Drosophila melanogaster: one gene and its partners. The protein of the gene in region 1 interacts with the protein of each later gene in a pairwise test. Each region holds a gene or a part of one and is shown on either strand. Other genes may lie near its edges.

Evidence for each region. Proteins that work in one complex are often made in the same cells at the same time.
Region 2: the proteins of Ubc84D (region 1) and BORCS5 interact in a two-hybrid assay, tested with the Drosophila melanogaster proteins (one large-scale study listed by BioGRID).
Region 3: the proteins of Ubc84D (region 1) and CG10916 interact in a two-hybrid assay, tested with the Drosophila melanogaster proteins (one large-scale study listed by BioGRID).

Annotation. Positions count from the first base shown.
Region 1 is NT_033777.3:7,518,111-7,521,314, forward strand, and holds Ubc84D (ubiquitin conjugating enzyme 84D), read right to left. Parts: upstream 1,347-3,204; 5' UTR 1,249-1,346; coding exon 787-1,248; 3' UTR 710-786; downstream 1-709. Other genes in the region: alpha-Est7 (alpha-Esterase-7), read right to left, coding at 1,641-2,114, 2,170-2,339, 2,402-2,965, 3,024-3,174. UniProt on the Drosophila melanogaster protein: Catalyzes the covalent attachment of ubiquitin to other proteins.
Region 2 is NC_004354.4:11,870,754-11,874,500, forward strand, and holds BORCS5 (BLOC-1 related complex subunit 5), read right to left. Parts: upstream 2,027-3,747; 5' UTR 1,794-2,026; coding exon 744-1,793; 3' UTR 546-743; downstream 1-545. Other genes in the region: CG15739 (uncharacterized protein), read left to right, coding at 2,748-2,750, 3,129-3,512, 3,634-3,747.
Region 3 is NT_033778.4:18,171,712-18,176,270, forward strand, and holds CG10916 (uncharacterized protein), read left to right. Parts: upstream 1-1,957; 5' UTR 1,958-2,098; coding exon 2,099-2,890; 3' UTR 2,891-4,014; downstream 4,015-4,559. Other genes in the region: CG5726 (uncharacterized protein), read right to left, coding at 4,369-4,559.

The DNA.
Region 1 (3,204 bases):
ATTCCTTTAGTTTTTGTGTTCTATTGGTATATATCTATTGGTACTCGCTATAATCGGCAGCAGACTTTTATTATCGTGTATATATGAAAGTATGTTATTATCCTTCGCAGACGCTACTGGTACGCTTCGTCACTACGTGGACTACCTGACGTCCAAAGTGATGAATGTGGTCAATATTTGATAGCTTATGCGTATATGTGTAACTGTATTAGGTAAATATGATTGCTATAATTACCAATACGATATTGCCAAATGCGGTTGCCTGTTGTTACTGTTAATGATACATTAATGTAATTTGATTAAATTCGTTACTCGTAGACAAAGGGGTATATCAAGTAATAGGTATCAATTATATGTGTACATATATAGGATCAATATCCGAGTGAACTCGGGAACTATAATGGCTAGAAATGGGAAATCAAGCATGCAGATTCTACAGGCGCTGAAGCACAAGTTTTCTTTAGTAGATTGCTAGACACCGGCCACAATCACCGCCAAGTAGCCAAGAGTTGGCTACGATTGTAGCAATAAACCAACAACATGTATTCCACGCTTACCAACGGCCACAATTTTTTTACCTCAATTTTGAAAAATATTTTGAATTTCTTTTTAACTGTACTTTTTTTCTTGCCCATTTTTTTTATCGAATTACCGTCCATTTAATGCGCCATACATATATCTTAGCGAACATTCAAAATATGGACAACTTATGTCTGACAAGTTTTAATTGATGGTCCAAACTATATATAATTTTGATATACAAATAAATGTGAGCTGCGGCTGACTTCACTCTGGTCGCTTCTCCGCATTCTTCTTGGTGAACTCTTCGGCCGTCTTCATGAACTTCTTGTGCTCCCTTACGAACTCCTCGGCCAGGTCAGAACGAAGCGGATGTTCTGGCTCCGGGTTGTGGACGATGGCTACCAGGGCCTGGAGCACCTGCTCTGTGCGCGTTGTGGGCTTCCAGTTGTCTGTGCTGATGATGGGCAGGCACACCTCCCCCTTCTCATCCACGTTGGGGTGATAGATTTTCGTCTTGAATAGGATCTTTGGTGGCATAAAGGGATACTGGGGCGGGAAGTTGATTTCGATGCGGAAGGCGCCCTTGTTGTAGGGCGCCTTTTCCGGAACCAAAAGACCCGTCCACATCAGCAGGGACTCATCGCTACTCTCGATGTTGCGCAGAGTGCTCATCTTGGCCTCAACCAGATCGGAGAGTTCCCGTGTCAGACGACGAGTGGCAGCCATTCTATCAACGGGATCAGAGTTCCTTTCCTTTGTTTTCCCTAGATCTCGGAAAAAAACTTGTTAATTTAAAAAAGTCTAAAAATTTAATTTTCCTATTGCTATTGACAGTAAAGTCAAAAGGGCATGTCGAACATTGTTTTTATATTCAAACTTATTAAGAAGTTATCAAGCATTTAAATAAATGGCGTAAACTGAGGTAAATATAGAGATAAATAGAAATATATATTTTTAAATCTCACCTAAACTAGGATTTCTCATCCACATGCAATCATTGGGCAAACTAGTTATAAAGCAAAACAATCCAATTGCAGAATATATTTTATAAAGCATTTTGACCTATTTACAGTTTCTAGAGACTTCTTTGTTAGGCTGTACAGAACAGTAAGTTAAATTTAAAACAATAAATCTTTGTTGTCGTCATAGAGGCTCTCCCAGACCTTCAATTTGGGCCACTCAGGCAGATCGATGAACTTCAGGTCATCACTGATGTTGAGGCACTTGATGACCTCGTCGGATTTGCGAACTGGATCAATGGTCAGAGTGTCCATACCGTTGATCTTCTCGCTGTAGGGATTACCCGTGGCAGCAAACTGGGTCCAGATGCCCACGGTTCGTTCGATGTTCCTGTACTCGCGACTTTCCTTCGGCAACCGGCGAGCCAGCAGGCTGCTGAATTGGTAGCTCAAATCGTCGGCATGGCTGACCCCCTTGACACCGCGTCCCAACCGCATAATGCGGTACGGAAAAATGAGCTCCTCGGAGTCGAAGTCATATCGATAGAAATATACTGGAGCTCCAGCCGCGTACGCGTGTCGGGAATGGACCACCCTCAGGGCCGGAAACACGAAGTAGTAAATCGAACAGAGCTGAAATAAATTACCAGCTTATGATTATGTAAGCACCTAATTGGACGACACTTACATCCATGTAATTATCTGGGGTGCTTTCTGAGCCAGTGCGATGAACATCTCGAATCTGTGCACTCCACGAATCCAGTTTTTCTTTACTGGGCTCCGTGGCCAGCAATTCTTTGGGAATGAAAGGTGTGCCAGCATCAAGCTGCTGCAGCACCTGCGGCATAAGCTTTACCTCTGTGAAATAAAATTAAATTTACTTATTGAAAGAAAATTCAAAAAAATTCCCAATATCTAACCTGGAACCCACAGCAGGCCCTCGTACGAAGTGTTTCCTATAAACATGGGGATGGAGTTACTCCAGGCGGTCTTCATCATCTCCTTTGGAGGCTTGGATATCACACATTCGGGCGTGGAGAATGGTTCCAGGGATGGGCCAAAGGCAAACATTATCTTGTTCATGCGTTCCTCCAGTGTCAGGACATTTTCCTCCACGCGAATAAGATCCTTGGCCTTTACGTTCTGCAAGAACTCCAGCACATCCTTGTCGTTGTCCTCGCCCTTGTAGCCAACCAGCTTGGCTATCCTGTAGGGATTATGGGTAATGTCGCCGTTGTAGGCCCAAGGACAAATGGCACTGCCCGACTGCAAGATGCCGCGATGAAAGAGCCCTTGGGTCTGATCGGTTAGCATCATGTAGTGAGTGGAGGCGCCTCCAGCACTCTCTCCAAAAACAGTGATGCAGTTGGGATCTCCGCCGAAACTAGCGCAATTGTTCTTGATCCACTTGAGGGCCAGCACCTGATCCTTGAGGCCAGCATTTCCTGGTACATTTAGCTCGGGGGACTTAAGACTCATAAATCCTGTGTAGGTACAATAATGTTTAGTCAAAATATTGCGCATACGCACACAGTAGATTACCCAAAGCCCCAAGTCGGTACTGTATCGTGACGAGAACAACATCTTCTTTCATAAAGTAATCCGGGCCATACCATTCCCGATTGGCCTCGCCGATAATGAAGCCTCCTCCGTGAATCCAAACCATAACCGGGCGAGCCTTGTCGGGCTTCACCTAAAATGTACCACAAATAAAAAATGTTTA
Region 2 (3,747 bases), on another chromosome or scaffold:
TTCAACGGTGTAGGCTAAAGGGTCTAAATATAATGTAAATGTACCATCCAGATGCTTGTGTGGAATTGTAATCGTGTGTATATGGAATGAAAAATGTTGTTTGCGTAGCGTTACCAAAAATAGTAATCAAATGTTTCACATTTGTTGTCCATAGTCGTATATGTATGTTTGTATTGTATTGTATATCCCTATATGCGATATTTACTCGTAGCTAGAATCTACTCTAAATCTAGACAAATTGTGTAAGAAGTAATAAATGTGCTTTTGACCGCTGTCTAATTGTTAATTGTAGTTGAAGACTTTATTGTTTGTATACATATATGCGGCAAGCATACGTAATAATATGCATTTGCATAAGAGAGAATACAGTGTATAAAATAAATATCCAAACCTTTAAATGGACAAATAAGGTCGTAAGCAAATTGGTTTCTTCCTTTATATGAGTTTCAAACGATAATACTGTGGTGAGATATCTATTGTGGTTGGTTGGCTGACCGAAAGAAAATTATCGCATTTGCAAAACTAGCCTCACTCCAATGATAAAGAATTATTTTTTCGTGATAATATAGAAAAATACTATTTGCATTTCGAGAAATAAAATATCAAATTGAGTTTAATATTAGGTTTGATTTACTAATTAAAAATCACGATTAAGCGGCATCGTTAACGAGTAATATACACAATAAATACACGATTATTATGAGCTAGGAAAATCTTTGGAGACCAATAAGTGTGTGGGGATCCTACAGCCGCCACAGGCGACTGCTGTTGCCTCCGATGGCGCCCTCAGCCTCGCCGCGCAGCTTGTTGTCGTCGGTGCGCCAGACGAAGGGCTCCAGGCGGTCCTCGTCGTCCAGGAAGTTATTGATCGCCTCCAGACTGGCTATGTTCTCGTGCAGCAGCGAGTTGCATCTGCTCAGCTGATGCGATATGCTCCGAATCTTGGCGAATTGCTCGGCGTACGAGGCGTACGTCTTCTGCATGTCCACGAATCCGGCAAAGAGGGTGGTGATCGAGTTGCTCACCACCTTGGTACGTTCCACGAGGTGATTCTGTTCGCTGGCCACATAGCTGGCGCACAGATTAAGATGTGTTTGCATGCGGGTACATATGTTGATCAAATGCTGCGAGTTTAGTCGCTCCAGAATCTCTGCATCTCGTGTATTGGTCGCCGACGTGATGGATTCACGGAGCACGGGCAGAAACTGCGGTATATTGCGCAATCGTGCCAAGTCCATGTCCACATCCTCGCCAGCATCGATGGCACCGGGACGCACAATCACTATATTATGACTAGAGGCCGTGGACTGTGGTCGCTTCGGTTTCACGGCGCTGGTGAGTCCACTCGGATGTGACTTCCTGGCCGCCGCACGGCTGGCGCTGCTCTGCTGGAGCATATGCGCCGGCTTGCTGCGTATCTTGGGCGAATCACCGATTGGCCGATCTGTATAGGACACATATGGCAGGTCGGAGCAGACGCTAAGCGGCGGCGAAGGCGGTCTGCTCAGTTCGGAGCCGCCGGGCGAAGCGGCCTCGGCGATGATCTGCTTGCTAGCTATCACAATGCTAGCTGGGCCCACTCCAGCTCCCGGGCCCACCACTGTTCCGCCTGCTCCTCCTGTCGTCTGCTGGCGATGACCAACTCCGCGTCGTTTGTTGGCCGCCGCCGTGGCCGCCAGCATCATGGAGCTGCCATCGCCGAGGGATCCAGTGCCCGCTCCTGGTGGCTGGCGTCCGTCGAAGATCTCGTGGCCATCGGCCTCAGCCCGCTGCTGCGAATGCTCGGCGCCCATTTATCGATCCGATTCCTGTCGATTCCGACTCCAAGTTCCGCGTACTCCTGGCCCGAATTTTGTGGTTAGCTGGCGCTGTCACTGTTGCTGTCCTGGGCCCACCTGCTGCTTCATTTCCAGTGGCCCAAGCCAGTCGATTTACACCTCAAAACAAATCGATGCCAAAGCCTCAAATCGAATCGCAACAAAGTCTCATTCAGGACCTAAAAATTTCCCAGCTGCCAGCTGAAATGCGCTAGTGCGTTTTTCGGTATTAAAGTACAGATAACGAGCTGTTTCCACTGCACGCTTGATGTCAGCTTTCAAATAGTAGGGGGGTTTACATATTCATTGAAATTCGGCTTTTCTTAAAAAAAAAAAAAAACGAATATAATAAAAGTGAAACTTTACTAAATAAATCATAAAACTATAAGCTAGTGATATTGAAATTATTACAAAATGTTCATATTAAATAGTTGTATATTGAAAGCTTCGGTTAGGTATTTTAAATACAGAAATACTAATTCTTTGGTTTTAAGATCTAGACATGGAGTTTAAATTTGAAGCCATAGCTTATAACTTTTAATTTCCTATCATTTCCTAGACTTTCTGTTGATAATTTTAAATATAAACACTATAACTTTTGTTTGCAAGCTCTTCTAATTTCGTTGTCTATTGTTTTGAAATCGAGCTCCACTTGGACTGTATAAGTAGGGGGATGTCGTTGGGGTTCAGATAAGACCAGGCGATAAGTGGAGAGCCCTCTCTTCCAATGCTTCCGTATAAGTTCACCAGTGTTTTGGTGGCCGTCGTCGTCGTTCTGCCGTTTGAGGTGCTAATTCTCAGCATGGGATATAGATTCTGTTTTGGTTTTGGTTTTGGTTTCGATTTCAGCTCGAGCAATATTCAGCAAAGTCAGTTGGCTGACGACCGTGATCGCGATAGCAACACTTTCACTCACCAGAACGGATTGCAATGGTGAGCAGGGAACAGGGCTTTGCTGGAATAATCTTATCGAGGTGCACCATCGATCCCCCTGCCTATTTGTTTTTTAAGTCTACGCATATACTATTATTATTATTTTCTGGGACTGCCATTTACAATTTTCCTATATTTTATACAAAAGTTTAACTAATGTTGGTCTAGGTCACGAATTACAACGCTAAAGATGTTTTGTCACCAAAAATGGAATTTTTCTTTTAATGCTAGAAGTTTTAAAAAGTGCTATAGATAAATTTCATTTTTTGTACAAAGCGCCGAACTTGTTAAGAATTATATAGTTTTTAAAAAAAATCCATTACTAGTTTTTTGAGTTTAATTATTGAATTAAATTTGAATTTTCAATTACAACCTTAGGCCAAACCCCAGCACATTTTGCAGCTAAGCCAGGAGCAGCGGAGCAGCGTTGTCGACTCTTTCGACCGGGTGGTCAGCGACATCGATGGCGTCCTGTGGACCTTTGAGCAGAGCATTCCGCGTGCCGCCGACGGATATGCCGCTCTCGAGCAGATGGGCAAGCATCTGACCTTCCTGACCAACAACAGCGTTCGCACGTCCGAGCAGTGCGTCAAACTCTTCGCCAAGATCGGGATGCAGGTGCACCCGGAGCAGATTTGGCATCCGGCCAAGTCCATCGTTAGCTATCTGCAGAGCATCAAGTTCGAGGGACTCATCTACATCATCGCCAGCCAGTCGTTCAAGACGGTGTTGCGCGAGGCGGGATTCCAGCTCCTGGACGGGGTGAGTGGTAAATAAGTTGGGTGAAGAGTGGTGCTGGTTTTCAGTGCTCCTGAATTTGAACAATCCAATAACCTATCTATGCATAGTTAAACTATATTTGATATACCAACTCTGCCTGTAGCCCAACGAGTTCATCGAGGAGAGCTACGCCAGCCTGGCCGAGCACATCTTTGGCAAGGAGCCCGTGCGCGCCGTCATCATCGACGTGGACTTCAATCTGACTTCCCCGAAGATT
Region 3 (4,559 bases), on another chromosome or scaffold:
ATTCAAAACATATTTAAGCAATACTGCAAATGAATACATATAGTGAAATAAATGAGGGGAATCCTCGAAACGCATGATGCAATATTTGCGTCAATTATGTGCATATCTCAAAAGAGGGGCTTGGAAGAAGACACAAGAGAGCCAAAGATAGAGAGTTTAATTAGCCGTTCTAATAATTTCGTTTAATAGTGAAATGGCCATTGTACATACATACATATATCTATGGCAAAGCACAATAAACAATGATAATGACAAGGCTATTCAACCGTTTATTTTTTGTTAGAAACAGCTGATTGCCGTTTTGTATTTGTTTATATAATAAAGCTTTGTTGACGTACGCAAAGCACAGCTGAAAAGCAACAAATGGCATAATCTCGTACGCATTTTTTGGCGTTTATTTATAGGCGGCAAACAAAGAGCGCAGTTAATGCGTCAGTGTGTGTGCCAAACATAGATATGTACTATGTACTTGCGTACATATGTATGTATTGTTTGTATTTTGGCAAACCAAAACAAACAGAAAATTTGCATATTATGCGCACATTAACTTGTTTCCATTGGAGTGGCGGCAAGTTTGGGAAACATAATTTGAGCCATTGAGAAACCGCACTAGCTGTAAATCAGCTGAATATCCATTTGTAGTTGTATGTTGAACTTAGCAATTAAAAGTGAAAGGATACGGGTGAACGCAGAAAAAGAAACGGGTATCTGGTCCTTGGCACTTACAGTTCATGCAGCCTTTTGTGCTCCTCTTCTCCGTCTGGTGTTTGTCCCTATATCTTTTCGGATTTATTGCGAATTGTACATAATTTGTTTAGCTTTTCCCGTAAAATTGTTTTCCGTGTCCCGAAGCCACGTACCGCGCGTCGTTGCCAGATCGGTTGAGTATCGTAAGTACCTGGTGCCACTTATCGATAGCTAATTTTAAATATTTATAAATTCTTGTGTTAAAAATGACCTGAACAGTATTTGAAACTATTATTGAGCACAGGTGAACCTTTTATTAGTTTTTAGCTATAAAATCCAAATTTATTATATATATACATTACATATTTGACTTCCTGATTATGAAATACATTTGTTTAACAACTGGCATACACTTTAATTAGTCTATTTAGTAAAAATCTATAACAAAATAAAACAAAATTGTTCTGAAACCTTGAGACCTAAATATTAGCAAAAAGTTTGAAATTAAATGTTATAAGCGTTTGAGATCCATGTAAACTTACGAAATATAAAAATAACAGTATTTCTGGCACTACTTAAAGTCCATCTCTATAAAGCTCGTATCCGTTAATTTTAAAATAAAACAAGTGCGCCATACGTATTTAAAGCTCAGTGTGTAAAGGGATTCAGATATGGATGGTAACAGCAAAGAAATGGAAAATTGAGAAGCACCCACAAATGACCCATCGCCATACCGGATTCGGAAACTAATTCCCGAACAGACAATGGGCCACAGGTGCATTCACGACGAACTTGTTCGCAGAAGTACCCGGTTAAAAGCCTGTCCTCTGACTCACAAGAATAACAGGGATTTTCCCGAGCACCCTCTGCTCATGAATCTGGACAGAGACAGCTTATCGGATGCCCACCTGCCGCCCGAGGAAGCAGTGCAGTGCGGCACTAACGAGGACGGACATCATGCGTCTGGGCAAGGTACATTCTTCCCATAAGGTCATGTACATCCCGCAGCACGGTCAAGAGGTTAACGTTGGCACCAACGAAGTACTGGTGCAGGTTTGAAACGCTACTTTAATACAAAGTAAAGATCCAGTAGATAACCACAAAATGATAGCACAGTACATTATCTTAGCCAAAATAGAGTTATGATTAAGACGCTAATATAAATGTTACTTAATATAAATGTTACTTACTTAATGCTATAAGATATTTAAAGGATTATTTTCAATCAAGATTCAAACTTATTAAAATAACAGTATTTCTAGTATATTTGGTATTCTCCAGAGGTCATCTCTAATAAAGCAGGAAAGTTGATACGAATCGTTTCGTTTTCCGCTCATTGTTGTGAAATAAATTTGGAACAGAAGAATAGAGCCACACATATTCAAAGCTCAGTATCCATAGGGACGTAGTTATGGAGAGTAATAGTAGTGAAATGGAAGGTAACGGCGGAAAAATCGCAGAAACTGCACCCACAAATGACTCATCACCTTCACTGAACATTTTATGTGCAATTTGCAACGAGTTTTTCCGGGCCAACGACATAATTTTCTCAACTTCACGGTGCGGTCATGTATTCCACAAGGACTGCCTCACCCGATGGCTGAATAGGTCCAGGACCTGCCCCCAATGCAGAGACCCATGCGACCGACGACGCGTGCACCGATTGTACCTAAACTTCGCCGAGGCCCCGGAGTTCGATGACACCGAATTGCCCAAGGTGGCCATGGATTGGGTGCCCATTGATCTGGACAGAGACAGCTTACCGGATGCCCACCTGCCGCCCGAGGGAGCTGTGCAGTGTGGCACCAACGAAGACGGACTGCCCACGTATGTGGCCAGAGGATATTACCACGACGATCTCCTGCCTGCTCCTTATGTACCGGAAAAGAAGGCTGCCTTCGGTTCGCACAGCTGTAGCGCCCGAACTCTGACCGATGATGTCGAGATCCTGGTGCTCAACGACTGTGACTACAAGTGGGTGCCCGGACAGCATGGAACATATCCGCGGGATGCTCTGAACACGGGCTACTCCGAGCTGGGTGAGGTCACCTACACGGGTCGTGGTCTTTACCAGGGTATCCTGCGTCTGGGCAAGGTGCATCCTTCCCACAAGGTCATGTACATCCCGCATCATGGTCAAGAGGTGAGCGTAAACACCTACGAAGTCCTGGTGGTCACCCCACGTGACCAGGCAGATCGATGATGCTGCTGATATCTTAAATCTCTTATGCCTTATTGTATGAATCTGTGTTATAAATACATATGTACGTCTTATTCTATTTTTGAAAAAAATCGGATCTATTATTTCTGTACTTGTTTTAAATTCGCTTATCAGTAAGCCAAGATTTGTCCCCAATTTCTTTAATCAAGCGAAAAATTGATAACTTTGTTTTGACTGCCAGCAAATTATGTACAAATAAAAGTCCCCATATACATATGTATAAGTTAGTCTGCTATTTGCTGCCCTCAAGTATGCAATTCTTTATAATAGTTTGGAAAGTGAAGATGTTTGTGACTAGACACGGGTTTAAAAATATTTTGACCTTGACTTGATCAATGCCTACGATAAACGGAAATCTTGGTTTTTTGTATATTGTATCTAAAACGGACCAACTGTCTTCAAAATGGCAAGATTAATAAAAACTGCGGTCTTAAAGCTTTCTTACTATCGCTTTTGTAAAGTATGCACAACCGAGAGTTGCCCACAGAAGTTCTGGAAAGTGGAAACGCAGAAGACGAGGGGAGTCACCCACAAGGATTCGGAAAATACATTCATCCAATCAGGTGATGTAAATACGGAGGTAAGACTATGACATTCTGCTGGTGATTTCAAAAGTTTTCAAAAGAATTTGTTTTAATGTTTGATTAATGATAATGCAATTTTTTTGTTTTATTAAAAATGTGTTAGACGCTATTTATATGCTGATTAGTGTTTTGAACCTACGCATGTTGCGAACATATTGATTATACCTAAACAAAGAGGTTTAAGTATCTATATAAGACTACTCGTATAACTCTACAATTCATGTTTTTCTCTGCACTCCGGCTTGGCTTTGTTGTTCCAACAGAGGGCCTCACAAAATTTGCTTTAAAAATACGTAAGCTTGTATAATTCGTTTAATAAATCGGCTGAACCTGCACTATAACATGACATTTAATATATAAGTATATATTTAGCTAAAAATACAAATTTTTATATGTTCAACATGCTTTTAACATTTCACCAACAGGCGTTTTACTTTTCAATAGAAATAGGATTATTTTTGTTTTTTCATTGACTTTGTACTTAGTTTCTAAGCAATTTGTATATATAAATATAAAAATGAGTGTGTGTGACTGTATTTTGTGTGGGAGTGTTTATGTGGCGTGGTTGTGTGGGACTACACAAGACATTCATATATATATAATTGGTATTTACAAATTTAGTGGCTCCAATGTGTAATGCATGCATGCTTAATATTCTTTAAGCCTGGATTTGAGATGGATTTGTTTTGTGATTGGTCTAAATTGTTTTGTATTGGTTTAACATTTGAGCTCAGTTGAAGACAAAATAATGTGAAAACAGTCTACGTGGATATACACATCCATTAGGAAACATATACGAAGGCGAAACAAATAACTTCTAAACGGACTTCAAAAACAATTTTCGTACATGTGGATGACTTCGTAAAGTGTATAAACTCATTTCTGGGCCGACAAATAGTTCATGTACTGAGTGGTCTGCTGGGCATTCCGCACCAGCTCGCTTTCCTCCTTTCCGGATGGTGGTTGGCCCTTATCCGCCTGCCCCTGCCAGTTCTCCTCGTTCTGCGGCTGATGGATGTCTGGCTGGGAGCGGCGTGTGAAATGGCGGTGCCGCTGGTGCTGATGCT